Caenorhabditis elegans: one gene and its partner. The protein of the gene in region 1 interacts with the protein of each later gene in a pairwise test. Each region holds a gene or a part of one and is shown on either strand. Other genes may lie near its edges. The genes, in order: cku-70 and cku-80.

Region 1 (14,998 bases):
AACCTCAAGTTTCCTGGAACTTTTATGAGACTTTTTCCGGTCCTTTCCGAAAGTTTTTGGCGAGCGTTTTTGGAAATTATCTATAACAATTTCTGGTTTTTTTTAATTCTTAAAACTTCAGAATATTCTAGGAGTATCAAAACTTGAAAGGTTCTAGAACTTCGCAGAAGTTTCTTGAATTTTTTCAGGGAATTGAACATTCCAGACTTTGCTCGAATTTTCTAGAAAATTCTGGAACATTCGAGAATTTTCCCGATTTTTCTAGAAAGTTCTGGAACATTACAGACTTTTCTCGAATTTTCTAGAAACTTCTGGAACATTCCAGAATTTTTTTTCAGAAATTTTGAATTCCCGCCAAAATTTTTCACAGAAATTTTGAATTCCCGCCAAAATTTTTCACAGAAAACTTGAATTCCCGTTATAATTTTTCACAGAAAATTTGTATTCCCGCCAAAATTTTTCACAGAAAATTTGAATTCCCGCCAAAATTTTTCACAGAAATTTTGAATTCCCGCCAAAATTTTTCACAGAAATTTTGAATTCCCGCCAAAATTTTTCACAGAAATTTTGAATTCCCGCCAAAATTTTTCACAGAAATTTTGAATTCCCGCCAAAATTTTTCACAGAAATTTTGAATTCCCGTTATAATTTTTCACAGAAAACTTGAATTCCCGTTATAATTTTTCACAGAAAATTTGTATTTCCCACCAAAAAGTTTTTCTCAGTAAATTTGAATTTCCCGCCAAAAATTTTTATCAGAAAATTTGAATTTCCCGCCAAAACTTATGGGTCTCGCCAAGATGGGTCTCACCACGAAGGGTCTCACCACGAAGGGTCTCACCACGAATTTTCTCGAATTTTCCAGAAGGTTCTGGAACATTCCAGAATTTTCTCGAATTTTCCAGAAGGTTCTGGAACATTCCAGCATTTTCTCAAATTTTCCAGAAGGTTCTGGAACATTCCAGCATTTTCTCAAATTTTCCAGAAGGTTCTGGAACATTCCAGCATTTTCTCAAATTTTCCAGAAGGTTCTGGAACATTCCAGAATTTTCTCGAATTTTCCAGAAGGTTCTGGAGCATTCCGGAATTTTCTCAAAGTTTCCAATATCCGTTCAATAGACGAAAAGTCAATTTTTCCCAAACTACAGTAATCCTACAGTACTCCTACAGTACCTCTACAGAACAACTACAGTACCCCAACCATATCCCGACACTAACCCCAAAGCAATATCTCTTCAAAAGACGAAAAGCCAATTTTTTTCAAAAATACAGTAATCCTACAGTACTCCTACAGTACTACTACAGTACTACTACAGTACCCCGACCATATCCCACCACTAACCTCAAACCAATATCACTTCAAAAGACAAAAAGTCAATTTTTCCAAAACTACAGTAATCCTACAGTAACCCTACAGTACCCCTACAGTACTACTACAGTATCCCGACCATATCCCACCACTAACCCCAACCCACAATCCCTTCAACAGCCGGAAACACCTTGCAAGTGTGACGTCACAGACTACAAACTACAATTGTAACATCCCTCATGTATTTTTTTATATATAAGTAATGATAATTTTTTTTTAATTTTAATTTTAAACAATTTATTTTTGAAAAGTTCCAAAAAAAAAAAAAACTTTTTTTGCGTAAAATTCTCTACAATCTCAAAAAAAAATTTGTTCATCAAAAATTTTCCGACACAATTTTTTCCGATTTACGATTTTTTTGCCATAAAAATTAATTTAAAAAATTTAAAAAATCTTTCACTATTTTTTTTCTAGAATTGTATCACATTTTTAGGATGTAAAAAAAAATTAAATTGAACTTTAAAAAAATTTTTCTCGAAAAATTCGTTTTTATCGAGAAAAAAAAGTGTTTTTTTTTTTGCGAAATTCGAATCATTTTTTTAAATTTTTTTAAAAAAGTATCAATTTTCAGAGGAATCGTAAAAGCGATAATTATTTAAAAATTCGGAAATCCGTTAAATCTCCGTTTTTTTTTAAATTTTTTCCCGGGGTTTCGGATGAAAAAAAAACCTTTTTAATTAAAACAAAAAAATATATTTTAAAACCCTTTTTATTCGAAAAACCGGGGAAAAAATAATTTTGGTTTAGTTTTAACATCTGTTTTATTCAAAAATCGATTTTTAAAATTTATTTTTGAAGACTTTTCCTCAAAAAATTAATTTTTTAATAGAAAAAAGGAAAAAAAAATAAACCAAAAAATTATGATTTTCACGCTTTAAAAAAGCTAGATTTTTCGAAAAGAAAACACTTTTTTTTTCGGAAAAATTTAAAAATTTATCGATTTATTTTTCCTGCACAGTAGAGTACCCATGGCTCCTTCCGTTTCTCGTCCTTATCCTGTGGCTTATATCCATCCTCTGGCAACATAATAACCGAAAATTCACCGAGCGTCTTTCGATGTCCCTCACCGATAATTTTGGTGACCGCGGCTTTGGTGCGTTTCTGAAGAAAAAAAAATAATTTTGCTTAAAATTGAAAATTTAGCGCTTAAAATTTACTCGAAAATCGTAAAATTCACGAAAAATTGAATTTATTTACAAAATATAGAAATTAGTGTTTTATTCAAAAAAAAATTCCGAAATCTTTTGAGCACTTTTTTTCAATTTTTCCAACTGAAATGCAATCTTTCTTAGATATTATAGGAGCCCAAAATTCTGAGAATGCGTACTGTGCAACATATTTGACGCGCAAAACATAACTATATCTCGTAGCGAAAACTACAGTAATTCTTTAAATGACTACTGTAGTGATTGTGTGTCGATTTACGGAAAACATTTATTAATCGATAATAACATATTAAACAAAAACACACAAGTGACAAAAAAACGAAAATCTAAAGAAAATTGTCATTTTTGTGTTTTCTTTTAATATTTTATCGATTGATAAATGATTTCCGTAAATCGACACAAGCGATACAGTAGTCACTTAAAGAATTACTGTAGTTTTCGCTACGAGATATAGCTACATTTTGCGCGTCAAATCTGTTGCACAGTACGCATTCTCAGAATTTTGGGCTCCTATAATATCTAAGAAAGATTGCATTTCAGTTGGAAAAATTGGAAAAGTGCTCAATAGTTTTCCGAATTTTTTTTGACTACAACACTAATTTATATATTTTGTCAGTAAATTTAATTTTCCATGGATATTATGATTTTTTAAAGTTTCTTTTTTTGTATTTTTTAACGATATTTTATGTGTTTTTTCCACGAAAACCCGCCAAAAAATCCACTAACAAAATGCGAAGATTCCAAAAAATCGTCACGTTCAAATGGATTCCGATTGTTTGTCAAATAAATGACCGATTGATGACGTGTATTCGAACAACTTGCAAACACTCGTTTACAGTAGTTAAGCACATTTGACAAGTCGGATTTGTGATGATCACCGCCGTAATTGTTCACTGCCGAGAGGAGGTTTTCTGGAACAAAAAATTATTTATTTTCTTTTCGGAAAACTTCTGAAAATTGAAATTTCACTTCAAATCGGGACCGCCAACCAATTAGCAATGTTGGTCACGCCCACCTCGGATCGCTTATTGGTCGGAAAGCCTTCACTGAGAATCGCATATGTCTAGTGACTTTGCAAATATATCAAATTTCCGGTAAAACCAAAATAACGTCGGTTGCATAAACTTGCCGAAAATTTCGAAATCTACTGCAGGCGTGGGCGGCAAACGATTTCTTTCCGGCAATTCGGCAACTTGCCGGAATTAAAAACTTCCGGCAAACCGGCAAATGGGCGGAATTAAAAATTCCGATAAATCGGCAAATTTCCGGAATTGAAAACTGCCGGCAAACCGGCAAATTGCCGGAATTGAACATTTCCGGCAAATTGCCGGAGTAGAAAATTTCCGGCAAATCGGCAAATTGCCGGAACTGAAAGTTTCGGCAAACCGGCAAATTGCCGAAATGGAATCTACAGCCAAATCGGAAAATTGTCGGAATTGAAAACTTCCGGCAAATCGGCAAATTGGCGGAATTGAAAATTTTTGGCAAACCAGCGAATTGCCGGAATAGAAAATTTCCGGCAAATCGGAAAATTTACGGAAAACCAGCAAATTGCCAGAATTAAAAACTTCCGGCAAACCGGCAAATGGGCGGAATTGAACATTTCCGGCAAATTGCCGGAGTAGAAAATTTCCGGCAAATCGGCAAATTGGCGGAAATGAAAATTTCCGGCATATCGACAAAACCGGCAAATTGCCGGAATTGCAAATTTCCGATAAACCGGCAAATCGCCGGAATTGAAACTTTTCTAACTTTTTCAAACTTGAACAAAACTCAAATATCAAATTTTTTTCCGTGAAAATCCCAAAATTCCACGTTGGAAATTTCAAAATTCCAACAGCAAAAAAAAAAAACGCCGCGGACAAAATTCAAAATTCAATTTATTCCTAAATTTCGACTCGGTGGTGTGTGCGTGAGTTGTTCAACAATGTTCAGTCGACTAAAGCAAAAAGTGAAAGAAAAGACGGGCAGAAGCAAGGCGACAGTGCTTCCCGCCGAAATCGACGAGGCGTTGATCTACTTCAAATCTCTGAAGCCCCGCGTCCAGGATCTCTACAAGCACATGGCAAATCTGAACGACGTGGCAAATTGGCAAGTGAAAGCCAACTTTTCAGGCCCACTGGAGAACTATGCTCTGCTCGGAGATCGTATCAACGTGCAACCGTTCATCAATTGTGTCGACACGCGGATGGAGGCAGAAGTCGAGTCGATGGATAAGGTGCTGGCGATTTGTGAGCGGTACAAGGCGTTCACACAGAACGAGAGTAAGCTTCACACAAATACAATTGCCAATTTGAATAAGACACGTCTCGATATGGATAGTGCTGCGAACAAGTACGCCAGCAACGACACTGACGTCAATCGGACTCGGTTTGATGATGCCACTCGTGAGTTTGAGGTGGCTTGTGATCGGATGCGTGAGTTGGCGATAAGTATTCAGACAATTGAGGAGACTCATTCCATGTGGCAAGATGAATTGATGCGGGAGATAAAGGCCGGAATGAGGAAACCGAATTGAGGTGGTGGTGGTGGTGGTGATGGATGAGAAATTGAAAATTGAAGAGATCTCACAAAAAAACCTTTTTTTTTTTTGAAAATAAATTAGGTTATTATGAAATATTGTTTTGCCAATTTTCTAGGCGGCGTGGCCTACACGATTTCAGGCCGCTCTTTATGAAAAGCTAAGTTCTGGCGTCGAAAATTGCCAATTTCTTGAAAAAAAAATACCGGAAATTGTTTTGTCGAAAGCAGTGGTGGACGGCAATTGCCGTTTGGCAAATTCGGCAAATTGTCGGAAATGCCGGTTTGCCGGAAACTTTAATTTCCGACAATGTGCCGGTTTGCCGAATTGTTGCCGGAAATTTTTTATTCCGGCAAGTTGCAGATTTACCGGAAACTAAATTCCGACAATTTGCCGATTTACCGAATTACCGTATATTTTCATTTATGGGAACTTGCCGGTTTGCCGTTTTGACGAGAACTTTCATTTCTGGCAATTTGCCGGTTTGCCGAATTGACGGAAATTTTCATTTCTGGCAACTTGCCGGTTTGCAGTTTTGCCGTAAATTTTCAATTCTGGCAATTTGCCGGTTTGCCGTGACGGAAATTTTCGTTTCCGGCAACTTGCCGGTTTGCCGAATTGCCGCAAATTTTAATTTCTAGCAACTTGCCGATTTGCCGGAAAATTTCATTTTCAGCAATTTGCCGGAAATTTTGATTTCTAGCAAGTTGCCGGTTTGCCGAATTGACGGATATTTTCATTTCTGGCAACTTGCCGGATTGCCGAGTTGACGGAAACTTTAATTTCCGACAATTTTCCGGTTTGCCGGAAATTTTCAATTCCGGCATTTTGCCGATTTGCCGGAAACTTTAATTTCCAACAATTTGCCGGTTTGCCGAATTGCCGGAAAATTTAATTTCCAGCAAGTTGCCGAATTGCCAAAAATGAAAGTTTCCGGCAACTTGCCGGTTTGCCGGAAACTTTCAATTCCGGCAATTTGGCAATTTGCCGTAAATTTTCAATCAATTCTGGCAATTTGCCAGAAACTTTTAATTCTGGCAATTTGCCAGAAATTGTCATGTCCGGCAATTTGGCAATTTGCCAGAAATTTTCAATTCCGACAATTTGTCTATTTGCCGGAAAAAAATCGTTCGAATTTTCAAAAAAGTGGTGATCTACCGAAATTCTGCCAAAAGTCAAAAGAACAATCAATTTTTTGCCAAAAAATTGCCAGATTGCGTATAATATTCTGAAATTGTAGATTTTACTCGAAATTTAACTGGAAATTGCCAATTTGTCGAGATTTTGAAAAATTAGAAGTTTGCCTAATTCACTGCGAAAATTGTGCCAAGTCGCCAAAAGACGACGAATGCCGAGAAAAAAAACCACGAAAATGTCAGAAATTGTCCGCGATTTCCGCACCTTCCTCCGCAATTTCCTTAATCTTATTCACTTCTTCCTGTCCAAGAACACCCATCGGCACAAGCAGAGTGCTATTTTCGAGTCCCTCGGTCTCCGAGTTTTTCTGTAATTAAAAAATTATTAAATTTTCAGAAATTCTTCAGAAAAAACTCGTACAGTACTAGTGACAATCACTCCGATATGATTGTTAAGGCTCCGCGAGCAGCAAACACGGACTATTTCGTCGAGAATGAGCTTCAGAGCAAGCTTGAACTCTGGCGGCTCACCGGCTTTCGACGTTTCGAACATTGCCGGATTTCCGTCAATTATGAAGAATGTGTACTTTTTATTGGCCGTTGAACCCTCGAAATCGTCATCCTCGAAGCGGGTTTCGTCCATCTGGAAAAAAATTGATTTTTTTCAAACTTTTCTCGAAAAAAAATTCAAATTTTGACTGAAAAAATCGAAAAATTAATTTTTTTTGAATTTAAAAATATTTATTAAAATATTTTTGTTCTCAAAAACTTTGAAATTTGACATTTTTCAAGTTTTGAAAATTTCGAAAGTTTTTTTTTTCAAATTTTTCGAGAAAAAAATATCATATTTTGTCGATTTACGGAGCTCGTGACTGAAAAATTAAAAAAAAAAAACTTCTCCTCGAGGAGTACACCAGCTGCGTAAATAGACACACGGTTTTTATGCATGTGTCGATTTACGACGGATTTTGAACTACACGTGGACAAGTTTGAGTTCAATTTTTTTGCAAAATCTCGACTTTTTTTTTGGCTAAAATTTCAGTTTCCGAAACATTATCCCTCGTAAATCGACAACCCCTGTGTCGATTTACGCAGCAGCCTTCGTGTACTCCTCGAGGAGAAGTGTTATTTTTTGCTCAAAAATTTTAATTTTACAATAAAATAAATTACTTTGCATAGAAAATTTGAAAATAGCGAAAATGTTCAAATTCTCCCCGTAAGTCGACACAAATACTATAATAAATTGAAATAATTTTTTCAGAGATGGAAAAACTCCAAAAATTCAGTGAAAAAAGGGAGAATTAACACAGGATTCGATTGTTTATCAGATATGATTTGAGTATTTTCGGGAATATTTTTTTGGGGAAAAATAAAGAATTTTTCACTGAAAATTAGGAGAAAATGGAAAAATGGAGGAGGAGGAAATGACTTGTGAAAAAAATTAGGAAATTAGAAATTTCGACATAAAAAAGACGGGAAAATCGCAAAACTGGGGGGAAATTTTCAAAAAAAAAAGAAAATAAATTCATTGAATTTTCATCATTGGCGCAAAAATATATGAAAGATCCACTCGATTATAGGCATTTTTCTCCAAATATTTCTCATTGATTCGATCAGCCAACATCATTGAATCGATTTTGCACCCATTATATTCGACACGGACTTTGGCGGCTTCTGGAAAAAAAAAACTTTTTTGAAGAAAAAATTGTACAAAATTTCCTGGAAATCGAACTTTTAATGCTAATTTTTAGTGAAAAATTGTAATTTTCAACGAAAAAAAAAACTCAGAAATCGGAGAAAAAATTTACTGAAAAAAAATTACGGATTTAAAATTATTTGAGCCAAGCTTTTCAAAGAATACGGTACCGGGTCTCGATACGACAAATTGTTGTTGAATGCGAAAAAGTGTGCGCCTTTAAAGAGTACTGTAGTTTCAAACGGATTTTTTTAATCGATTTTGCGCATAGAATTTCACACGATTTGTTAAAACTTAAGCGGTTTATTTCAGTTTTTTTGTTTAACGAAAAACTGAAAAAAATGGATGAAAATTTCTCAAATTTCATCCAATTTTTTTCAGTTTTTCGTTAAAAAATATGCTTTTTATTAGAAAAACTGAAATAAACCGCTTAAATTTTAACAAATCGTGTGAAAATCTATGCGCAAAATCGATAAAAAATTCCGTTTGAAACTACAGTACTCTTTAAAGGCGCACACCTTTTCGCATTCAACAACAATTTGTCGTGTCGAGACCCGGGCGCAAAAATCGTGAAATTTCGGGATTGAGTAATAAAATTATAAAAGCCGAATAATTTTATCTCCGTAATTTTTTTTTTGAAAAAAAAAAATGCTGAATAGCTGCTGAAATAGAAAATAAAATTTTTTAAGTAAACTTTTTCTCCGAACTCTGCGTTTTTTTTTTTGAAATTACAATTATTCACCAAAAGTTTACATTAAAAGTCCGATTTCCAAAAAAAAAATTGAAAGAAAATCACATTTTTTAAATCGAATTTTGAATGATTTTAACGCAAAAATAGTTAAAAATGTTCTCCTAATTCGGTTTGTTTCCATTATTTTCGAGATTTTCCGCTAATTCTCACGATTCTTGGCTGAATTTCGCCGAAATTTCCCATTTTCTAGGGATTTTTCCCATTTTTTTCCAATAAAATTTCGCAAACACGAACTTTTCTGGGCGTCGCTCAACTTTCGTACAGCCGCGTCGACATCGAGAATTGTTCGAAAGAACATTTGCTGATCGAAAAGCTGTTTTGAAGTGTATTCACGACGGAGCACACCAGTTGAGCATCGAATACATTCGAGTCCTTCTCGACACCATTTCATCGTTTGTACGCGAGTTTTGAATTCACACGTTGGCTCATCGCATCTGCAACAAAAATTACGATTTTTTGAAAAAATTCGGAATTTTTTTTTAAATTTTGCCTCTAAAAAAAAGAAATTTTATGGGGATTTGAAAAAAAAAATTGTTTAATATTTTTCAGTGTGCGGTTTTTTGTGTTTCGATTTTCAAAAAATTCGGAAATTTTTGCCATTTTTCCTATTTTTACAAGAATATTAAGTGTGCGCCAATAGCCGTTGGGCAAATTGCCGGAAATCTTTAATTCCGACAATTTGCCGATTTGCAGGGAACTTTCCAATTCCGGCAATTTGCTGGTTTGCCGGAAATTTATAATTCCGGCAATTTGACAACTTGCCGAAAATTTTCAATTCCGGCAATTTTCCAATTTGCCAGAAATTTTGAACTCCGTCAATTGGCCAATTTGCCGGAAATCTTTAATTCCGGCAATTTGCCGATTTGCAAGGAACTTTCGAGTTCCGGCAAATTGGCAAATTCTCGGAATTGAAAATTTGCCAATTTGCCAGAAATGTATAATTCCGGCAATTCGCCGATTTTCCGGAAATTTCAATGTTGGCAATTAGTCTTCAATTCTCCTGATTTTAAGCAGGTTTTTTTTCCAAATTTTCAGAAAATCGGCAAATTTCCATCAAAAATCGTACTTAAACGCTGCGAGATGATGTCTGGCGACGAATTCCGACATTTGTCGGTCAACTTGATTCCCAATCACTGCTTGATGCTCCTGAAGATCCCATGATCCTTGACATTGAGCACATCCGGAGAATAGAAGGCGGGGAGACGAGGCATCAGTCTGAAATTAAACGAAAAAGTTGAGAATTATTTTTACCAACAACCACTGAACCACCGAAGACGAGGGTTTTTCTGCAGTAAAAAGTTGTTGCCACATTTTTGGACTTCTCAATTACTTGATTTCACCGTTAACCATATGAAATATGGGCTAATCCATTGGATTTAATGCACTTTTTTCAGATGCAAATTTCACCCCCTAACACTGCAACTTTTTCCTCACGAGGGACGAGGAAAAGTGGTTTCTAGGCCATGGCCGAGGGGCCGACAAGTTTCAGCGGCCATTTATCTTGCTTTGTTTTCCGCCTGTTTTCTTTCGTTTATCATCGCTTTTTTTTTCGTTTTTTCTTAATAAAACTGATAAATAAATATTTTTTGCAGAGGCTAAAACAATTTCCAAGTAAAAAATCATCTATTCAGTGGGCAAGCAGCGGTGAAAGTGGTCAATGCAATATGATGGATTACGGGAATACAAAACCTAAACTTTTTCTGAAACATGATACATATGCTGCTTAAATGCTGAGACTACCTGATTTTCATAACGAGATCGCTGAAAAAGTTTTGAGGTTTCCAAAATTCAACTTTTTTGGTGAAAAAGTCGAGATTTTCGCACAAAAAGTTGAATTTTGAAAACCTCAAAACTTTTTCAGCAGTCTCGTTATGAAAATCAGGTAGTCTCAGCATCTAAGCAGCATATGTATCATGTTTCAGAAAAAGTTTAGGTTTTGTATTCCCGTAATCCATCATATTGCATTGACCACTTTCACCGCTGCTTGCCCACTGAATACATAATTTTTTTACTTGGAAATTGTTTTAGCATCTGCAAAAAGTATTTATTTATCAGTTTTAATAAGAAAAAACGAAAAAAATCGATGAAAAACGAAAGAAAACAGGCGGAAAACAAAGCAAGATAAATGGCCGCTGAAACTTGTCGGCCCCTCGGCCATGGCCTAGAAACCACTTTTCCTCGTCCCTCGTGAGGAAAAAGTTGCAGTGCCTAAAAGTGAAAACGGGCAGAAATTTATTTTAGAATCGGGTAGAGAAATATTTTAGCTATTGGATTCTATTTTTTTCATATTTTTCATGCATCTTGTGGACTGGCCATTCCCTAGTTAGAAAACCACGGTTATCTCAAGGGAGTAGGAGACTTGGGCATACTTTATAGAAACAGTTCGGAAAAACGGAAATTTTCGCCAAATTGTGGTTTTGCACATTTTTTTCATTAGAAAAATCAGAATTCCAATCCTAATCGCCAAAATTGTATGCATCCTATGAATATTCCTCCTACATCTATTTTGAAAATTGAGAAAATTCTATGAACATATCTAAAGAAAACGGGAAAAAACATTTCAAAAATACACCGTTTAAGGGTTTCCGTTTAAAAAAAAAATCCCTCTAAAAACTTCCGGCTAATCGGTAAATTGGCAAAAATGAAAATTTCCGGCAAACCGGCAATTGCCTCCCACCCCTGATACGGGCATACTTTATAGAAACAGTATTCGTATCAGGGGTGGGAGGCAATTGCCGGTTTGCCGGAAATTTTCATTTTTGCCAATTTACCGATTAGCCGGAAGTTTTTAGAGGGATTTTTTTTTTAAACGGAAACCCTTAAACGGTGTATTTTTGAAATGTTTTTTCCCGTTTTCTTTAGATATGTTCATAGAATTTTCTCAATTTTCAAAATAGATGTAGGAGGAATATTCATAGGATGCATACAATTTTGCCGATTAAAATTGAAATTCTGAAAATTCCAAAAAAATAAATTTTTTTTTTAAATGTGCAAAACCGTAATTTGCCGAAATTGTTCGGCAAATTTGGCAAATCGGCAAATTGCTGGTTTGCAGATTTGCCGGAAAAAATCGTTCGCAAATTTTGTATGTGTTGCTGAGAAAAAAACTATAAGAAAAATACCATTTTCTTCTAAAAAGTGTAATTTTTCGAAAAAAATGAAAAATTTAATTTTGAAAAAAATCGAAAATATCCAATCCTAGCTTTTCCAAGGATTTTTAAAAGAAAATCTCCAAATTTTCAATAAAATTGAGGAAAAAAAAGTTTCTTCTCGGAAAGAACCCCAAAATTTCGCCATATTTTAGTTGCGAAATTGCCATGCCAACAATGTCCAGTTCCTCTGCGTCTCTTCTCTCTTACCACACAATCAAATGTCTCTCGAATCACATTTGAATGACCGCACCCATCGAGTGGACAAATCACATGAATTCCTTCGCACAAATCATAATTCTGAAATTAATTTTTTGAAATTTCAATTTCTGGCGCTGCTCCGAGCGAGCCCACCTCTTGGTGCCACGCGCAATCTTCTTCTGCTGCTCGCTGTGAAGCTTGAGCCGCCGCAGCTCGTCGATAATTGGTCGAATCCAGACCGAGATTTTCGGCAATTCGGACTGCGTCGGTTTCCTCGATGGGCTCGACGAGCCGCGATACGACTGGATGAATTTGTTGAGCCAGATAGTAGAGGAGATCTGCAAAAAAATTGAGTTTTCAGGCGAAATTTTGGGAATTTTGAGACCTAATTTCTTAAAAAATGAATAAAAATAAAATTTTTGTGGGTTTTCAGGGTTTTTACAATTTTTTAATGTTAGTTGCCAAAAGTTACCAAAATATAGGAAAATTCTTGCATTTTTGAGGGAAAATTACCAATTTTCAGCTCAAATTCCATCAGTTTTGTATAAAAAATGCAAAAATTTGAAAAAGTTTGCCCCAAAAGTACGATATTTTGAGCTGAAAAATGCGAAAAACTGCATAGTTTTTGCCCAATACCCATCAATTTTGGGCTGAAATTACCCGATTTTGCATTTTTTTAAAAGTACAAAATCGATGAATTTTGAGCTGAAAATTGGGATTTTAGCACAAAAAAAAAACGAAAAATGTTCTCTAAATTTCATGATTTTTGTCCTTTGACCAAAACCTATTGCTTTTGAGCTAAAATTGTATATTATTCAGTCGCGAAATTTTTCGCCAAAAGTACACTACCGGGTCTCGACACGACAATTTCCTGTTAAACGTAAAAATGTGCGCGCCTTTGAAAAGAGTACTGTAATTTCAAATTTTTGATTCTGCGGAATTTTCAGTAATTTTTTACCAGGTTTTCTATTCAAAATTGGTATTTTCATCGTAGCACTATTAAAAAATCACTGCAAATTCCGCAGAATCAAAAAAATGAAATTACAGTACTTTTTTCAAAGGCGCGCACATTTTTACGTTTAACAGGAAATTGTCGTGTCGAGACCCGGTAGTGTACTTTTGGCGAAAAATTTCGCGACTGAATAATATACAATTTTAGCTCAAAAGCAATAGGTTTTGGTCAAAGGACAAAAATCATGAAATTTAGAGAACATTTTTTGTTTTTTTGTGCCAAAATCCCAATTTTTAGCTCAAAATTCATCGATCTTATACTAAAAAAAAATGCAAAATTGAGTAATTTCAGCCCAAAATTGATGGGTATTGGGCAAAAACTATGCAATTTTTCGCATTTTACAGTGGTAAAAATCCAAATTTTCAGCATTCCGTACCAATTTTAAGTGCCGAATTCTCAGCCATTTCAGTCCGATGATAGGCTCGTTGTGTTGCCGGATTATCAGTTCCATCTTCACAAATGACATATTCCACAATATCATTATGCCTCAAATTGAATTTTCCACTTTTATTAAGCCGCTGAGCAACTGCCGCATGGCATTGAGCCTTCACATCGGCATATTGTTCAGGATTTCGAGTTAGCTGCTTGCTAATTTGGAACATTTCCAGTGGAACCGTGCCAGAATCCAGTTTTGCACGAATTTCACGCAGTAGATCATCGATCGATGAGACCATCTCGTCGCGGGTCAGTGAAGCGTCAAGGATCTTGTCGACGACGGCTCTACAAAATTATGAAAAATTAATTTTTTGAATTTTCTAAACGTTTTTCATATTTTTAACTGTAAAAAATGCACAATTTGGAGAATTTTCTCGAGAAAAAAATGTCTAAAAATCAAAAAATTCTTCGAATTTGATGAAATTTGCTGAATTTTATCGAATTTTATTAATAGAATTGTTAAAAATTTTATAAATTTAAGCATTTTCTCGAGAAAATTTAATTTCTGGAGCAGGTAAATTGGGGAAAAATGGCTGAAATTTGCTGAATTTTATCGAATTTTTCAGGGATTTTTTTTCAAATTTTAAATTTTCAGGAATTTAATTTTTAATTTTTGAACTAGAAATTCGAAAACCAATCACTTTTTTACAGAGAAAATTACAAAATTCTGTCTATAAAATTTTTTTAATTTTAGTTCACCTGGAATTCGAATTTTTGTGCAAAATTGATATTAAAAACGCGAAAAACTCATTAATTTTAACAAAAATTGGTTATTTTTGAAATTTTTTCAAAAAAACATATGAATTTCGCAAATTTTCAGCTCTTTTCCCTCAATTAAAAAAAAATAGAAAAATTTTTAAAAAATTCAAATTTTCTAAATTGTTTAAAAATAAATTTTACATCCTTTTCTCATCAAAATCAACATATTTTTTGATAAATATATAGTTTTTTTTGGAAATTTTGGAATTTTTAAGGGAAAACCGAAAATTTCCGTTTTTTTCTATTGAAAAATTTAAAATTTGGAAATTTTCTCGATTTTTTTTTTTTTTTTCCGTAAATTTATCTTCAAAATATGGCAAAATTAGCAAAAAAAATCCAAATTTTCTCAATTTTTAAAAAATAAATTTTTAATTTTTTTCTCATCAAAATCACGGTATTTTTTGATAAATATATAGTTTTTTTTGGAAATTTTTATTCAATTGTTTCCAATTATTCGGAATTTTTAAGAGAAAACCGAAAATTTCCGTTTTTTTCTATTGAAAAATTTAAAATTTGGAAATTTTCTTTATTAAAAAATTTTTTTTTTGATATTTAGTGGATTTCAGAGAAAATTAAAAAATTGAAATTTCCGATGATTTCTCTATTTTGCATACTTTTTTCTCTTTATTTCCGATTTTTTTCCGAAAAACACGGCAAAATCAGCCAAAATCATCAAATTTCCATTTTTTTTCTATTGAAAAATTTAAAATTTTCTTTTTTTTTTTGAATATTTGATGTATTTCAGAGAAAATCGAAAATTTTCGATTTTTTTAAAATTTGATACTGGAGATAAAATTTTCATC
Region 2 (16,244 bases), 6.7 Mb from region 1:
CTAAAATTGGAACAATACAGAGAAGATTAGCATGGCCCCTGCGCAAGGATGACACGCAAATTCGTGAAGCGTTCCAAATTTTTTGTGAAATTTTCTATAATTTTTTTTGCAGAAAAATCCTGACATGATCAGTGGACCAATGACGTCAGCTCTTCTGATCTACTCGAGTGTTTTCATGAGATTCGCGTGGCACGTTCAACCACGAAATCTTTTGCTCTTCGCTTGCCATTTTGCCAACTTCAGTGCTCAAGGAGCTCAGGTATACTCCATAACAGCAGCTCCAGTTGATAATTTTTAATTTTTTCAGCTCGGTCGATTTGTGAACCACAACTATCTGCACTACGTTGAAGATCCCGTCCACCATAAATTGATGATGAAAAAGGAGGTTTTGGAGCACGAACACGATGCGGAAGTGATCAGCAAGGCACATTGAGCAATTTGATTAAATATATAATTTTTAGCGGGTTTCGCTCTTTTTATGGTATCCTTTTTTCGAATTTCTAGGGAATTTTAGAAAGAATAAGTTAAATAAAAATAAATTTATGATATGAACTGAAAATGTAAAGCAAAAATAGGTGTTCGAAGAAAACCGTAACTAGCGACTCGACTAGATGTCAACATTCACAGGGAGAATCATTATTTTAATGGAGCTTCAACTTCGGATTCATCCACTTTTTGAGAATCGTCAAATGGATTTTTGAGATTTTTGAGATCGATGGCAGTTCCTTCTGCACGATTTTTCAGCGAAATCAGCACATCTGCAGGGATTTCTGGAATATCCGGAGTGATTGGAGGAGGTGCGGCAAGATCGACGTCTTCATCATATTCACCACTTCGATCGAATGGATCAGAGTCCTAAAACATTTTTTTATGCGAGTACAGTGGACGATTCCAACTAACATGTCCTCCGCGTGTCTCATTCAATGTCACTTCAGCCATAGAATCTTCGTACAAGTCTGTACTTGACAGCTCATCATCGACTTCTTCTTCTTCTGGTTCACCTGCTTGAGCATCTTTTTCCATTGAAATAAGCTGTAAAATACGAATTTCTTCAAGTCTTGTTTGAAGATTTTCATAAGTAAACTCGATAAAATCGAGGAAAATTGAAAAATTGATGAAAAATAGTTAAAAATCTAACCGTGCGGCGAAATTTCGTGATTTTCAAATCAAATTCTATTTTCTTTCATTTTATCGAGTTTAGTTATCGAAATACTGCAAAAAATAATTCATTTAAGCTGATTCCATTTTTGAAAAATTACAATTTTCAGATACATAACCGGCGTTTCTCACCAATCTTTTTAATAATAAACATTTAAAAAAATGCAAAATTTATTAGAACAACACAAACAAGAAAAACAACAAATTGCGAACAAGAGAAATAACGAGGAAAAAAATTAAAGGAAATCTTGCTTGGCGACAAATTCCTTCGCATAACCATCATCAGCGATCTGGCAACTCGCGGAGCAAGTGTACACGTACACGGAAGCCCAGTCGATAGATTGACCAATAGCATCTACATCGATGAGCGACAAGAGATGTGGCATAAGCTGCATTTCGAAACGACGAGGAGCTCCACAAAGTTCACATGGTTCCACAACTTCTGGCAATTCAGAAAGGCCAGTTGCACGGAGTGGCTGTCCGTATCTCTTGTATCTAATAATCTGATCGGGTTGCAAATTGACAAGACGGTTGAATTTATCAAAATCGATATCTTTTGGTTGCTCGGCGGTGGCTTCATCCAAATCTTCCTTTGTCATGTCAGCGTTTTTCTGAAAAAGGAATTGAGAAATTTAATTGTTTTTTCCGGCGTCAAACTAACCCCTTTGTTCTCCTTGACAAATTTCTCAAATTCTCTGATTCTTGCTTTCTTCTCCTCTTCAGTCTCATCCTCATCATTTCCTTCTTCCTCTTCCTCATCGCCTTCATCATCACTAAGTCCGTCAAACAGATTTGCTGGCATATATTCCTGATCAATTTCTACACCGAATTCTTTGAAACAAAACGCATTTCTTGGATTTTTCGGTTCATCCGTTATGGAGCCATCTGTTGCCGCTTTAGCACATTCGAGCTTGTGAGCAGGCCAGTCGATGACTTGATGAGCTTGAGAGCAATATCTGAAATTGTGACATATAAGGTGTGAACAAAATTTACCAGAATTTCGTCTTTCCGGCCAGAAATACTGTAACTGGTCTCGATACGACAAATTTTTGTTAAATGCACAAAAATGTGAGCGCCTTTAAGGGGTACTGTAATTATAAATTTGCTGAATTTTCATAGATTTTCCAAAGTTTTCCGAAGATATTTGTATTAATTTTTTTAAACTTTAACAAAATAATTATATTCGAGAGAAGAAATATTAAAAGTCAATAAAAATTCCGCAGCAAGAAAATTTTGGAATTATAAGCCTAATTAGAGTACTAATTAGAGTAGGCACACGCCTTTTTGCATTTAACGGAGAATTTTTTATTCTGGACGCAACATTTTTCGTATGGGTAACTTCTCTCACCTCGCCACTTGGCACTTGGCACATTTTTTCGCAGCGGAACATCCACAGATTCGACACAATCCGGGTCCATCAGCCGGTGCACGTGGATCAGCAACATCTCCATCCAAATCAGGATCCATTGGTCCATCAAATGAATAATAATCATTGGCACGTGGAAGTTGGCATCGGAAGGCTTTCAGATTTGCGGCATCATTTGTACGAGAGCAGGATGGATTACGGCAAACGAAGAGAAATAGAGAACGATGAAAAGCGTGTGGAGGATCATTTATACCTCCATTTGCTGATACTTGCATCAGGAAACACAGTGGTTTCTCGCAGACCTTAAATTTGGGAAATTATTTGGTGGACGGTTGTAGGAAGTTTTTTGTTGCTAATTTTGAAAAAATTATAATTTCAGCTAAAATTTTTAATTTTGCAAATATTTCCGTATTGCTGTTTTATTTTCCATATTTTTGTAGTAAAATAAAACAATGATCAAATAAAATTAATTTCTGAACGCTGCAATACGGAAAAGTTGGCAAAATTGAAGATTTAGCTAAAATTAGGTCAGTTTCAAAGTTCTGTTATAAAAAACCTACGTTGCACAACAAATCTGCGGATTTTGGAAGATTTTTTGGATTCAACCATGACGGTTTTCCTCCTATTTTTCCGAGTGGAAGAAATTGCGAACGTAGACGATACAGATCATCTGGCTCGAATTGAACTCCGAATCCCAAGTTTACTGGTTCATCTGAAAACGAGCTATTTTCATGCTGCAAACAAGATAAAGAGAACGGGCAGGAGACTTAGTGTGTATTTTCTTAAATTTATTGGTTAAGTCCGACTTGAAGAAATTTGTCAAAGAATTTAAATTTAAATATTTCGATTGATCAATATACAAGAAATAAGGCATTATTGATTGGGGAAAGTGAAACAGAAAAAATTGCCGAGAACCATGAATGTCGGTTTGCATTGTGTCTTCTAGTCTTGCTTGTTTTCACGCTTCTTGCGATCTTCTTGTTTGGTAGCAGCGAAGAGCCAGATACCCAAAACCACGTGGACGAGGACGACAGCAATGATCGCAGAATAGGTCAAAGCGTCGTTTGCACTGACACCCAGGAGCCCTGAAATAGGAGAGAAAATGGAATTTTATTCATTTTTCAAAAATTAAAAATAATCGGTAGAACAAGCTCTGTACCTTCGAAAAAGAATTGTTTCAAGAGGAACATAGAAGCAAGAGGAACGATGAGAATCACAAGACTATACGTGAGAAGGTTCTTGACAGCGGATTGGACTTCCTGATCACGAAAGTTCGGGAACAGAGTTGCCATTGTTGATGGTTCGGATGAAGAGGAAGTGGTCATTTCGCTGCAAACAACTCGGTATATCCATGGGTTTAAAATCAAATAATTATTATTGGAATAAAAAATAAGATTATTAAGGGGAGAATAGGTTCATACCAAGGTTTCTGGGAGAATCTTACCGAAAATTTGTTTTTTTTTAATTAAAAAAAATCCCGGATATCCCGAGTTGAATCCAGCGGCGCCAAAAGTAAAGGAAATCAAGAGATACAAAATTTGACAATTTCAAATTAAAATATAGTAAAGCGAAAACTACGCTTCAGAGAGAAAAATTCAATTAGTAAGGAAAAAATATAACAAAAAAAATTTATTCGTTATGTACAAAAGCATCTAGCCAGAGGCACTAATATAAATAGAACGGGTCGAAGTGATCACAAATAAGTAAACGAGGTCCAAACGGGAAGTGAATGTTCAGGAGGAATTTTTGAAGAAGATAATACACAGCCACGCTATTCTTTCTTTTTCTCTGCTCTGAGTTTGTCTTCGGCGTCTTTCTCTTCTTTCCATGCAATATAACAGAAAGCGGCAGCAATGAGAATTACGACCAAGGCAGCACATACTCCGGCATAAAGCATGGCTTCTGCTGGTGGTAAATGGAAGTGGTCTGAAACAAATTATCTATAAAATTGATTCTGGAAAAGTCCACTTACCGATGAATACCCAATAATACAAGCTTGCCATAACAAGCAGTGGAAGTGTGAACATCATTGCAGAAAATGCGATGAGCAGAGTTATAGCTCTATTCGAATGCTCTGCTGTGTAGAATTGTTCTTGATCGGGTCGAATCGGTGCTTTCAGTGCCTCTTCTACTAGGTCCTCACCGTCTTTCTCTTTCGGCCGATTTGCGTCGTCTTTAATTGACTGATCAACGAATGGAAGCTTCATCTCCTCTTCAACTTCATCATCTTCCTCTTTCGCCGATTTGTCAGCATTGTCATCCTCGTTTTCACTGACAGATTGACTACCTAAACTATTAATTCACTAAACAAAAAACATATATTTGTAAAATACCATTTTTCTTTTCATCAACAGCTTCAAAACTATCTGAAGTGCTGGATTTTCGTTCAGCTCCGTCGATCAGCTCGAAGTCTTGCTCCTGTTCTGGAGTATCGCTCATTCTGGAAAGATTTAAATACAACCGAGGAACCAGAAGAGCGCATGAAAATATAGAGCGTGTAATTTAACGTCAGTTATTGACAGAGAAAATAGAATTACGAAAGACCAAATCGGGCAACGAGGAAAACGTTTAACACAAACACAACACTGAAAATAAGCAAGAAAAGGAGGAAGTTATCGGAAAACCGAAGAACTTTCAACTTCGGAAAGAACCGTTTAATTTATGTTTAAAATCAAACAAAAAATTCCCGAAACATCCCTTTTAAACTTTGATTTTCACGAAAAACAACGAATGACCGAAAAATGTGATCAATCTCTGAGAGTGTGCACTTTTGCGTGACGGTGAACTGTCCGCGTGCACCAGATTCGACGCGCAAAATAATCGGCGCGAGGTTCGAACGAACGTTCGTGAATTTGTGGGAGCGGTTTTTAATGTTTAAAAATCAGTTTTGGTTTATTTTATTTGAAAAAAAAAACGATAAAAGCTATATTCCAGCAGTATCTAAAATGATCTTCTTTTAATATTCTAATTTTAATGTTTTAAAATTCATTTTTCGCTGCAGCAAAAAGTTGGTGTTTGCGTACAAAACCCGCGCCAGTCTTGAAAAACGCACGCATTATTTATTCACATGTTTCGCAATATTTCCATATGAACTTCTCAACATCACCAATTTAAATTAAGTTACAGGAATGCCGCCTAAAAAGGTATCTCCCGGGATTACCGTAATCCTTATCGACGCAGGATCCAATATGTCTGTGAAAGACACTGAAACTGGAAAAAGTGCATTTGAAAATGCGATCAATGCTGCAGATTGGATTGTTTCGAGAAAAGTGATACTAAAATTCGAGAAAACTTTCAAAGAAAAAATTGTTTTCAGCTATTTTCCAAAGATCCCGAGCTCTTCTCAGTGATGGCCTACAATTTGGATCCGAAAGAATACAAAACAGAAGTTGGCGGTCAAACATTTAATGGAGTCCAGTGTCAAAATGAAAAGTTTACACCAGCCAGCTTTGATCATTTAAAGTTTATCACAAAGGAATTGCAGCAAAATACAGAAATGATAGATCCAAATTGTGAGAGAATATCCAAGACAAATTCAAAAATCCTATTTATTTTTTTCAGTTTTCAAAGGTGTTCTGGGAGCCGTCGCAGTGCTAAAAGATCAAATCGAATCGTATCCGAATCCATCAGGAATCACGTTGATTGTACTGACAAATGGATTAAACGAGAACATTCGACAAGAAAATTTCGATCTTTTAGTTGAAGCCGTTAGTGAAAGTAATGCAGATTTGATGATAATGTAAGATTTTTCCATTTTAGCGTTGAAAAAAAAATACTTATTCCAGTGGAATCGATGAAAATCCAGAATATCCTGCTTCTCGAGTTGCAGAATTGGCAGAAACATTAGAAGGAAGAACATATACTTTTCAGTGAGTTTTTAAAAATAAAATTGGCGATTTTTGCGCCAAAAATACGGAATCTAGACACGCTTTTTGCGAAATGTTCATCGATTTTCCATAATTTTTCGTTAAAAAAAACTGAAATAATGGTTTTTAAAAACACATAAATATTATTTGAGAAATCTTTAAAAATTCCACAACAACGAAAATTTAAAATAACAGTACCCTTTAAAGGAACACGCTTGTTTGTATCTAACAATAATTGTCGTGTCAAGACCGGCTACCGTATTTTCGGCGCAAATACTATAACATTTCGCGCCTGGAGTAATATCATCATAATTACAATTTCCAGAAACGTCGCAAAGATGCTCTCCACCTTCCAGGCTCGTCAGAAATCCGAGAGAAAATACAATAAAATGTGGGATGTAAGAGTTTTTGAAGAAATCTAATCTAATACAATAAAAATAACGTTCAGATTGCTCCTGGAATCCATCTCCCGGTGATTTTTGCTCTAAAATCTGAAAAATCTACAGCACTACTCAAGTTCAAAAATGCAGATTCCGAAGGAAATGAAATGGTTCGATTGGAACAAATGCACGTGGAAACTGACGAAGTTGCTCCGAAAGATGAATTCAAATCGCCGGTTCTGGAAGAGAAACCGAAATTTCAGAAAAACTTTAAACCCGTTGAAAATATAAAAACTATGCATGGTAGTGAAATTCTAAATTTTTTAAAATCTATTATTAATGCGTCAGGCTACAATTTCGGAAAATCGGTTATCATGATGGACCCAGAATATCTTAAAGAAAAATACAATGATCATAATTTCAACGAGGGACAGACTGGTGGAGTGCTAAAACTGATACAGTTCACGAAAAGAGCAAATGTAAGATATGACATGGTCTCGCAACGACGGAGAATGTTAAATTAGAGGCGACGAAAAAAGGGTGTGCGCCTTTAAAGAGTACTGTAATTTCAAAATTTCGTTTCCGTTGAAATTTCATCGATTTTTCACAGTTATAACACGATATTTTGAAATTTGTATTTTAAAATAGACAAATCATGGTCATTTTTTTGAGAAAAAAACCGAAAAACTAATCACGAAATTTTACCAAAAAAATCTCATTTCAGATCCAGTTGTCACAATAATAATTCCGACCAAAAACAAATTTCTCCGAAAAAATCGGTGTCTTACCTCTCTTCTAAAATTAGCATTTTTGAAAAAAAAATAACGTTTTTTTTACTTTTTGGTTCAAAATCACAACAAAAGAAAGATAGCCATTCATAAATCGCAAAATTTCGCATCTCATAATTGTAATAATTATTTCTAGATTCTCGACTCATATCTCCTCGATGCCAGCGCGAAAACAGTACTTCCTGCTCTCAATTCACCAAAATCAGGTGCCACCAAAGCTACCGTATCCCTCATCGAAGCAATGCTTTCACTTCGAGTCGCTGCCATTTGTCGATACACATTCCATGCAAAATCTCATGTGCAACTCATTGCTCTTCTACCACATCAAGATGAAGAAACTGGCGTTTTCTATCTAAGATCAGTGAAATTACCATTTTCCGATGATATGAGAACATTGAAATTCCCGAAATTCTCATTTGACGAGGAAGATGAAGATTTGAATAAGCCTACTGGTATATATTCATTCAGACTTTTGAATTTAACAAAAAACTAATTAAATTTCAGTAGCTCAACTCTCCGCTGTAGATGACCTTATCGATTGTATGCAATTACAAGAAGATGAAATGTTTGAATTTCAGAAAAATATTGTCCAATAAAAAATTGTTTTCAGCTCTTCACTGGTCGAAGGTGGAATGAGTGATCCAAAATTGCAGATGCAATGCCATTTTCTCAAAAGTTTAGTTCTACATCCAAACGGTACATATTCTTGTGAATTCGGTTTAAATGAAATAATATTATTGTCATTTCAGATACCTTCGAAAATCATTCCAATCGAACCAATCAAATTCTCGATCAAATAATGGCACCGAAACGCAGAGTCGAAGCAGAACATCCGGAGATTTTCCAGAAGCTTGGCCGCGAATTCAATCTGCAACCAATTCAGAAAACCAAACGAGAACGGGTTACGGTAGAGCCTGAAGATCTGCAGACAATGATATCCGAATGGACGGAGAAAAAACAGAATATGACACAACCAGATGAGGTAGATGATGGTGCAAGTCAAAAGAAAAAGAAAAAACCAAATGCAAAGAAATTGACGAGAAAAGAAGAAGTTCAAATGGATATCATGGAAGATGGCGGAGCTAGTCGTGTTTGCTCGAAAATTCTTGAAATGATTTCAAATACTTGCAAATTTCAACCAAATGGAGCAGTTACTGAGTTCTTTACGGTATTTTCAAAAATAGATTTTCAAAATAAAACTTTAAATTTTAAATTTACAGCTTCTCGTCAATGAATTGAATGTTATTCGCTCAGTTTTCGTTGAAAACTCAAAATGTGACGAGTTCAATGAACTTCTCAAGAAGTTGAAAGACGAAGAAGACTTTGAACCATTTGCTGAAGTTCTTTCTGAAGGTACTACCATTTCATGTCCACTTTTCTGCCATTCCTCATTCAACAAATTTCAGAAAAATCATGCAATCCAATTGATTCTTCCGAAGTCAGCATGTCAGAAGTCTCCGTCGCCAATGCTGCCGAATTCTGGGAAGAAGATTGAGCATTTTTATTTTATTTTATGGCAATGTATCTCAAATAACTAACTACAATCATTTTAAAGCTGTGAATGAACTGAAATGAAAATAAAATCATACTACCGTATCATGGTGATCACCCAAAGAACGCTTTTTAATGTGAAAGTCAGCATTTTTTTTATTTAGTACGTACAGTGAGAGGAAAAAGTAGGGAAAAGCAAGATGTAGGCTCGTAGGTAGGCGAAAATGTGATGTACCCAAGTGTATCGGTAGGCAGACTGGTAACAATAACAGAGAAGTACTCAAACATCGATCTTAATGTCTACCGACTTGTGTGCATAATGCATGCCTATAGGTATACCTATGCACCTCCCACAGGTTTCAATGCCTAGTTTATCGCCTACATCTAGCCAATGTGCCTGCCTACTATCTTTGACGGAGTTTGTGCCACTAAAATGACGACTCAGGTATTCACAAATTTAAGAAACAAGTTCAGTTTATTCAAATCTTCAATTTCAAGTAATAGATCAAGTTCCGATGGAAGTTTTAATCTTTCTCCTTTTTTCACTTCTTCTCGTATGCTTCCAGTTTATCGAGTTGATCATCTGGGCTTCTATCGCCGGTTGTCTTCTCCCGCTCACTTGACACTTCCCAACCGATTTCCATCTCTCGTTTCTCAAGTCTTTTAATAATTGCCAGATTCTCCTCAGAATCAATATCAGAGAGTGGTTCGACTTCAGATCCAGACGAGAGGGCCACTTCATCTATAACAAGAGTATGACCAACAATTACAATAATAATAAAAAATACCTTTAACAGAAAGAGCAACTAGATTCTCATAGTTTCTAAAATGTTCTCTTTCCTCTTGATCCAAGTCTTCGAAAAACTCAACTTCAGAATCCTCTTCAGACTTCAGACTCCATTTGAACTTCCTCTTCTCTTCTCCTTCATCAGTTGCACACGTAGACGAAGTCCACGTGGATAACGATGTGGCAGACGTAGAATCATATGAGCCTGTCATTGCCGACTGTGTACCAGTAAAATCATGTCTCATTCCCAACAAAAACTCGCGGGTGATCAGTCCGCGGCTGACCTTTTTTCCTCTTCCCGGCTTCGGCTTCGGTGGTTCAGATAATTTCTGAAAATTATAAATTTTCAAAGACTCGTTTATATTATCGCGACGCAGAAACTATAGTTTTGAAATCAAAGTTGGTACGATTGCGCTCCAATGAAAACTCTGCTCACCGGAATTTATATATCGTTAGGTATTGGCGTCAAAAACGTAAATTAAAATTTTCTACTAAAAATTTGAATTTCCGGATTTGCCGCCAATAAATAGTTTCATATTGTCGTGGAGCGCAATTGCACGCACTTTGCTTTCAAACTGCGGCATTCTCTATTTACGTCTCGAGATGGATCCATAATACTTACACTCTTCTCTTCTTCAGTTTTGTTCTCCTTTCTATCCTGCTTCTGTTTCTCCGGATCACCTTTCGCTCGACCTTTTTTATTCTTGACAACATCGGAAGGAGTTGAACGTCTTTCGACACCAATCATCGCCTCCGTTGCACCATCATCATCCTTTTCACTCGACGGATTCCTTTCTGCGGATTTTTCCTTTCTCTCAGCTGATTTCCCAGCCTTCTTCGGTTTCTTTCTCCCATCAGATGAACTAGCTTCTGACATTGGCGAAGAGGTCTGTTCGGTGCAAGAAGATGTTTCAGCGCTTGACCTCTCACAAGAATCCTTCTTCTTCTCACTCTTTGATTTTCTTGCTGCTGCACTTTTCTGTTCATTCTCCTCATCCGATGCCTTCAAATTATCGTGATCCGATTCATCAGCTGCATGCCAATGACCTTCTACTAGATCAATCGCATTATTCGTGTAGAAATCTGGAGCTCTTCTAGTTTTCTTGACTTCTTCGAGTTCTTTCATTGTGTAAAGTCTTGGTTGTTCTTTGTCAGAATATTGCATAACATCCACCGAAAATATCAGATCTGAAATAAAAACATTAAATAATAAAAAAAATACTAAGCTGACACTTACTCATTTTCTCCATGAAAGTTTCATAGGTCAACTTTTTATTGGCTATGAAACAAGCAACCAGTGGAACAAAATCAGCACAACCATCATAGAGATAATTCACTGAAAAATAAACAATTATTGGCAGATTGTCAAACATTAGCTCTCACATGGATCATTGAAAAATACTTCTTTCAGTTTGAACATATTCTCTGCATCTCCGAACCATGGAAGCTTCTCGGCAGTGCACAGAAATAGCATCTACAAAATTTTCGTTGTAATCTGGATTCATAATGATTTCCTACCGTGTAAACCCATGCCTCAAAGTCCACAAATTCATCAAATTGTGCATCTTTTTGGTGGAAAACTCTCGGAGAAAACGAATCGGGTCGAGCATCGTCAGGAACTTTCATTTCTGGTCTATAAAAAGCAGAGAGTTTGGGTCTCGCCACGACTTCACATTGCGTAAAAGTACAGTAACAGCTCTCACCACAAACTAAATATTATCAAAAATGTGTGTGAAATACAGTAACCCATAGACAGGCAGACATGTAGGTAGACAGTTGGCACATCATCGGTAGGTAAAAGATAGGCACGTACGTAGGCGCTTAGGTGAGAATGAAAGTAAGTATTAAGTAGGCACGTAGGGACGATGTAGGTACGCAGGCGGGCAGGTGCGAGGTAGATACGCAGGCAAGAACTAAGAAGGTAAGCTTTCAATAGGCACATAGGTAGGCAACGTAGCATGAGGCAGGTATGAGTGAAACATGAGTTAGGCACACACGCAAGCATAAGGCGTGTCCGTCTGGCAAAAACCTACTTTCTCGTCATGCATCTTGAATAATCAGTGATCTTAATATTGAATGGATGCTGATTGACACTGAATGAAGATGGTCGAATATCCAAATGAACAATATCGAATGAATGAAGTTCTTTAATTGCATTGAAAGTGAAATAACTGATAAGAAACATTGTGGTAGGGCTGAAAGTTTTTATTTAAACATTCGAATATTGATATCCAGTGAAACTCACTTCAAAACAGCTCCAAACTCATCAAAAAGCGTCAGCAAATCCATTCCAAAATCCTCGAAAATTAGGAATCTGAAAACCAAACTGAAGGGACCAGAGATATTAATTTTTTTTTACTTAAAATCGTCATCATATCCAATATCAACAAGACGGGCAATATGCGATGGATTCGAGAGCTCTGGGAGCAAATCATAGAGAATCTTGCGTTCTTTCTGGAAACAAAGTTATCTAGTTACTTTCTGTGATACTATAAATGAAATTACATCTAAATTCTTTTGCAATTGCAAATGTTCTGGATTCTTTCGGCTGACAAGCTTTGCAGAGCACATACAACCCGATTTGATATTTTGAACGAGCCAAAATTGATTGGATGTCGATGAGTTGCTTTCAGGCTGAAAATAGTTGATGAAAACTTTGAAAAACTACTTCTAGAACAAACATTATTGCCTAAAGCTTCACTTATGGGACCATCAGGATCCAGTTCTTCCATCATTTCGTATTTGGTATTTTTCAGAAAACGCGGCATAGGAAGTTGGAAAGTCTTCAATTTCTGAAACACGAAAAATTTCACAAAAAATTTGGAACGCTTCACGAATTTGCGTGTCATCCTTGCGCAGGGGCCATGCTAATCTTCTCTGTATTGTTCCAATTTTAGTATATGTTCTCGGAAGAACGAGACATCTCGCAATAGGAGGTGTTTATATAGGGGGGACACAAGAGGCGGCAGACGTCTTGCGGGTTTTGTCATCCTCTATGTTTTGCATACCATTAAGGGTGGAGCTCTTGCAAGAACTCTTAAAATGTTTAGAGTTATTCAAAATTGGAAAAGGAGTTCGAAAATACTTGAAATATTTCAAAGTAGACTTGAAAATCTTTTGAATTAGAGTGAAGAAAATGAGCGTGCGCCTTTAAGATGATACGGTAGCTTTTTTAAATTGAATTTTGAAAGTTTTCTTCGTTTTTCAAATAATAATTCTCAATGAAAATATAAAGAAAACATATGAGAAAAATTCGAATGCGGTCTCGAAACGATTTTAATGAACACAGAAGAGTGTGCGCGCCTTTATGGAGTACTGTAGTTATCAACCTTTCGTTTTTTGTGGAATTTTTTCTGACGTTTTCTCAGAAATTCGTGTATTTTATATTTTAATTCAGTTAAAAAATAACTTTCAAGGTGACGAAAAAAGGGGACTACAGTAATCTTTAAAGGCGCAAACCCATTTCCTTAATCAAAATAAGATCGTGTCGATACCGGGGTACTGTATTATCGGTTAAAAAATCGCAAAATTCAGCGTCTGGGTAGTATAAGATAAGGTAAAAGATATAGTATAAGATAAGGAATGAAAGAATGACATTTTCAGTATTTTTAGTGATACCGAGAGAAAACAAATACCTCTTTCAACAATGGCGTAGTTTCTTCACCAACTACCATAAACTCCGAGAAAACTTTATCAGAAATGTTCATCGCTGTGCTCAAATAATCCAGCAAATTCTCGACTTCTGAATCGGTATCAGTCGACCTATAGAGATCATCAGAATCCCAATTGAACTTTTCAATATTTCGATCAAGATCTGCATTGTCTGCATCTGGATCCGAAGACGTAATGATAATTGATTCAGAATCAAGCATTGCAGATGATGTATCAGTTGTTGAAGAGTATGATTGACTGAAAGATGTCTCAACGCCTGCATTGCTTGTTTGCTCGGCTGACGATTTTTCGGCTCCCGACTTGTTGGACGCCGACTTGACTTCTGGAAAATTAATTTTGGAATTTTTTTTTTCTTCTATCAGTCTCAAAGAATGTGTATTTATGCAAAATGTCTCGGCGCGCTCCTTGCATATATCCAAAGGGATTTTGCATACGTGCCTTTAAGAGTACTGTAGAAAATTCATGTATAGATCTCGATTGTTCACTGAGAAAAAAAACCAAACAAATTAAGAATTTTAGAAAGAAAACCCATATATTTACTTTTCAATGTTTCCGTCGAAAAAACTGAAAATACAATGTTTCATCACATCAATTGCCTACCGAAACTTTAAAGGCACATACACAAAAGTTTAATTCATGAATGCATGTTCGCGCGCTCTGAGACCTTTTTTCATAATAACTATTACGCATCTTTTGAAATTCCTTTAATACCTTCAAACATGCTATCCTCTTCATCTCCCGTAGCATCAGTGTCTTCAGTTTCATCTTTCGACCCTTTTCTGTCTTTCTGTTTCTCTATGTTATCCAACATCTCTTCCAAATATTCAATCTCATCGTCAAAATTCATTTTATCATCAATAGATGATGACGTGTCATCAGACGAAGATTTCAAATCTTTATAAAGTTTTTGCTCTCTTTCAAGACGTTTTTCAGCCAATGCTTTCTCTTTCTCTGCGTCTAATTTCTCTTTATCAGTCTTCTCTTTATCATCTTCCTCTTCATTCTCCGTCTCTGTCTCTTCAGTAGTTGGTGCAGATGATGGCTCTACCATATCCGTTGGCTGTTCAGATTCCTTCTTCTCTCCGACCTCGCCATCCTCTTCGGAAATAAGATGGGAAGACGACGACGCTGATACTGCATCGAGATCCTTGTCCGAAAAACAATCCGACCCCGAACAACAACATTGGCGCATTATTCTGTAAATTGGTATTTACAGCTACAAAAAAAGAATAAAAAGATTCTGGAGGTATGGGGAATTGAACCCCAGCCCTCTCCCATGCTAAGGGAGCGCTCTACCACTGAGCTATACCCCGACGGACGGGCTCGGTTCTCAGTGTCGATAAAAACCCACTTCAATCGTTTCCAGGCAATATCTGTAGCATCATTTTCATTTTTGAACATAGCTTCAACAGCATCAGTATCCGAAGTTTCACCATCTGAATCACAAGCATCCGAATTTGAAGAAGAAAACTCTGATGATGATGAATATTTATTTGTTGTTCCTTTTTTAACTTCCAATTCGAATTTTTGAATTTCTTTCAGCAAAGCTTTTTCCTTTTCATCAATAACTATTTCAGGCAAATCACCATCCAACTCATCTTCCTCAGATTCCAAACATTTTGGACCTTTTAAATCCGTTTTCTTTTTTCTTTTATTTAGAGCTGCTTTACACTGAAACATTTTCAGTATTCTCTCTTAAAATGAGAAAATCAATAAACTTACAACTGTCTTCCTATCAAAACTTGGATAAGTGATCGCTCGTTCCACATATTCGAAAGGAAAATCCATTCTAATCAAGAAATAAATTAAAACTATACAAGAAGAAGTGTTAGGCCTAAGGACGTGAAAGTTTAAATTATTGAACTTTGAAATTAAAGGGAATGTCAAGTAAGAAATAAAACAGTTTAAGCGTAGATAATTTTATTATAATTGGAACAAAATAATACACCAAATTTTTTGAAAATTGGGAGCGGATAAAAATAGAGAACGTGTATGAAAATTATGTCGATCTCTCACATATACGTGTGTAGCTCGTTTCGGTACATGAATTGCAGCTGAAAATAGATAATTGTGTGTGAATAGTACTTAAATTTACAAACTAACCATCATGGTCACTGCATCAGTTTTTTTGATATAAGTTGTATTGAGACCGATGCAATCTGACAACACCTTAAGCAGAGGAACATATTCTTGTTTCTCGTACAACATCTTATATACTTTCCCTTTGGTCAGCATATCCGTGAGGTAGTTCAGACCAATTGTAAGCGAGTCGTTTCTGGAAAAAAAATCATGAACAATTTGATAAACGATATTTCGTTATTACCTTGCTCTGAACTGGAATTTATGATTATCATCGGTCATTGGCAACAAATATTCGATCTTTTCTCGCAAATCATCCTCCAGGACGTATTCGAGAATTCCTTCGCTGTGAAGTTGTGGCAACTTCTCCAGAAGTGCATCAAACGCTGTGAACATTTTCTCTCGTCTCGTATTCACATCGACTTTTCGGATTTCGATTTCTGGTTTCATATCTGGTCCATCAAGCATTTTGACTCTCATATGGCCTGCAGCACGAAGTCTGTCAATTCTCGCCTGATGCAGAATCGAATTGATACGATGTGTTTCCCAGCATCCAAAGTCGTTTACAGTGAATGGGGTAACATAAACCGGGACGACAGGTGGCGGTGGCACATAGATTTTAGATTTTATAATCAATCTGGGCAATGGAACAGTATC

What was found.
Region 2: the proteins of cku-70 (region 1) and cku-80 interact in a two-hybrid assay, tested with the Caenorhabditis elegans proteins (3 studies listed by BioGRID).

Annotation. Positions count from the first base shown.
Region 1 is NC_003281.10:11,146,664-11,161,661, reverse strand, and holds the start of cku-70 (Ku domain-containing protein), read right to left. Parts: upstream 6,836-14,998; coding exon 6,614-6,835; intron 6,561-6,613; coding exon 6,458-6,560; intron 5,054-6,457; coding exon of another isoform or gene 4,463-5,053; intron 3,447-4,462; coding exon 3,262-3,446; intron 2,471-3,261; coding exon 2,336-2,470; intron 1-2,335. Other genes in the region: Y47D3A.31 (BAR domain-containing protein), read left to right, coding at 4,463-5,053; pola-1 (DNA polymerase), read right to left, coding at 7,718-7,866, 8,874-9,073, 9,706-9,854, 11,999-12,088, 12,143-12,327, 13,378-13,721.
Region 2 is NC_003281.10:4,414,204-4,430,447, forward strand, and holds cku-80 (ATP-dependent DNA helicase II subunit 2), read left to right. Parts: upstream 1-5,644; 5' UTR 5,645-5,652; coding exon 5,653-5,793; intron 5,794-5,840; coding exon 5,841-6,036; intron 6,037-6,085; coding exon 6,086-6,263; intron 6,264-6,309; coding exon 6,310-6,393; intron 6,394-6,715; coding exon 6,716-6,788; intron 6,789-6,838; coding exon 6,839-7,073; intron 7,074-7,118; coding exon 7,119-7,249; intron 7,250-7,694; coding exon 7,695-8,010; intron 8,011-8,062; coding exon 8,063-8,123; intron 8,124-8,168; coding exon 8,169-8,254; intron 8,255-8,307; coding exon 8,308-8,726; intron 8,727-8,778; coding exon 8,779-8,911; intron 8,912-8,964; coding exon 8,965-9,053; 3' UTR 9,054-9,172; downstream 9,173-16,244. Other genes in the region: mpc-1 (putative mitochondrial pyruvate carrier 1), read left to right, coding at 113-259, 308-433; R07E5.11 (Intraflagellar transport protein 46 homolog), read right to left, coding at 637-855, 901-1,023; pdcd-2 (MYND-type domain-containing protein), read right to left, coding at 1,395-1,769, 1,820-2,114, 2,507-2,826, 3,085-3,236, 3,440-3,458; R07E5.19 (Vacuolar ATPase assembly integral membrane protein VMA21 homolog), read right to left, coding at 3,467-3,609, 3,684-3,849; R07E5.7 (vacuolar ATPase assembly integral membrane protein VMA21), read right to left, coding at 4,296-4,450, 4,497-4,811, 4,858-4,963; C28A5.6 (Protein kinase domain-containing protein), read right to left, coding at 9,592-9,791, 9,838-10,165, 10,459-11,024, 11,074-11,172, 11,220-11,310, 11,355-11,469, 11,870-12,031, 12,082-12,150 and 7 more; C28A5.1 (Ig-like domain-containing protein), read right to left, coding at 15,521-15,562, 15,612-15,783, 15,832-16,244.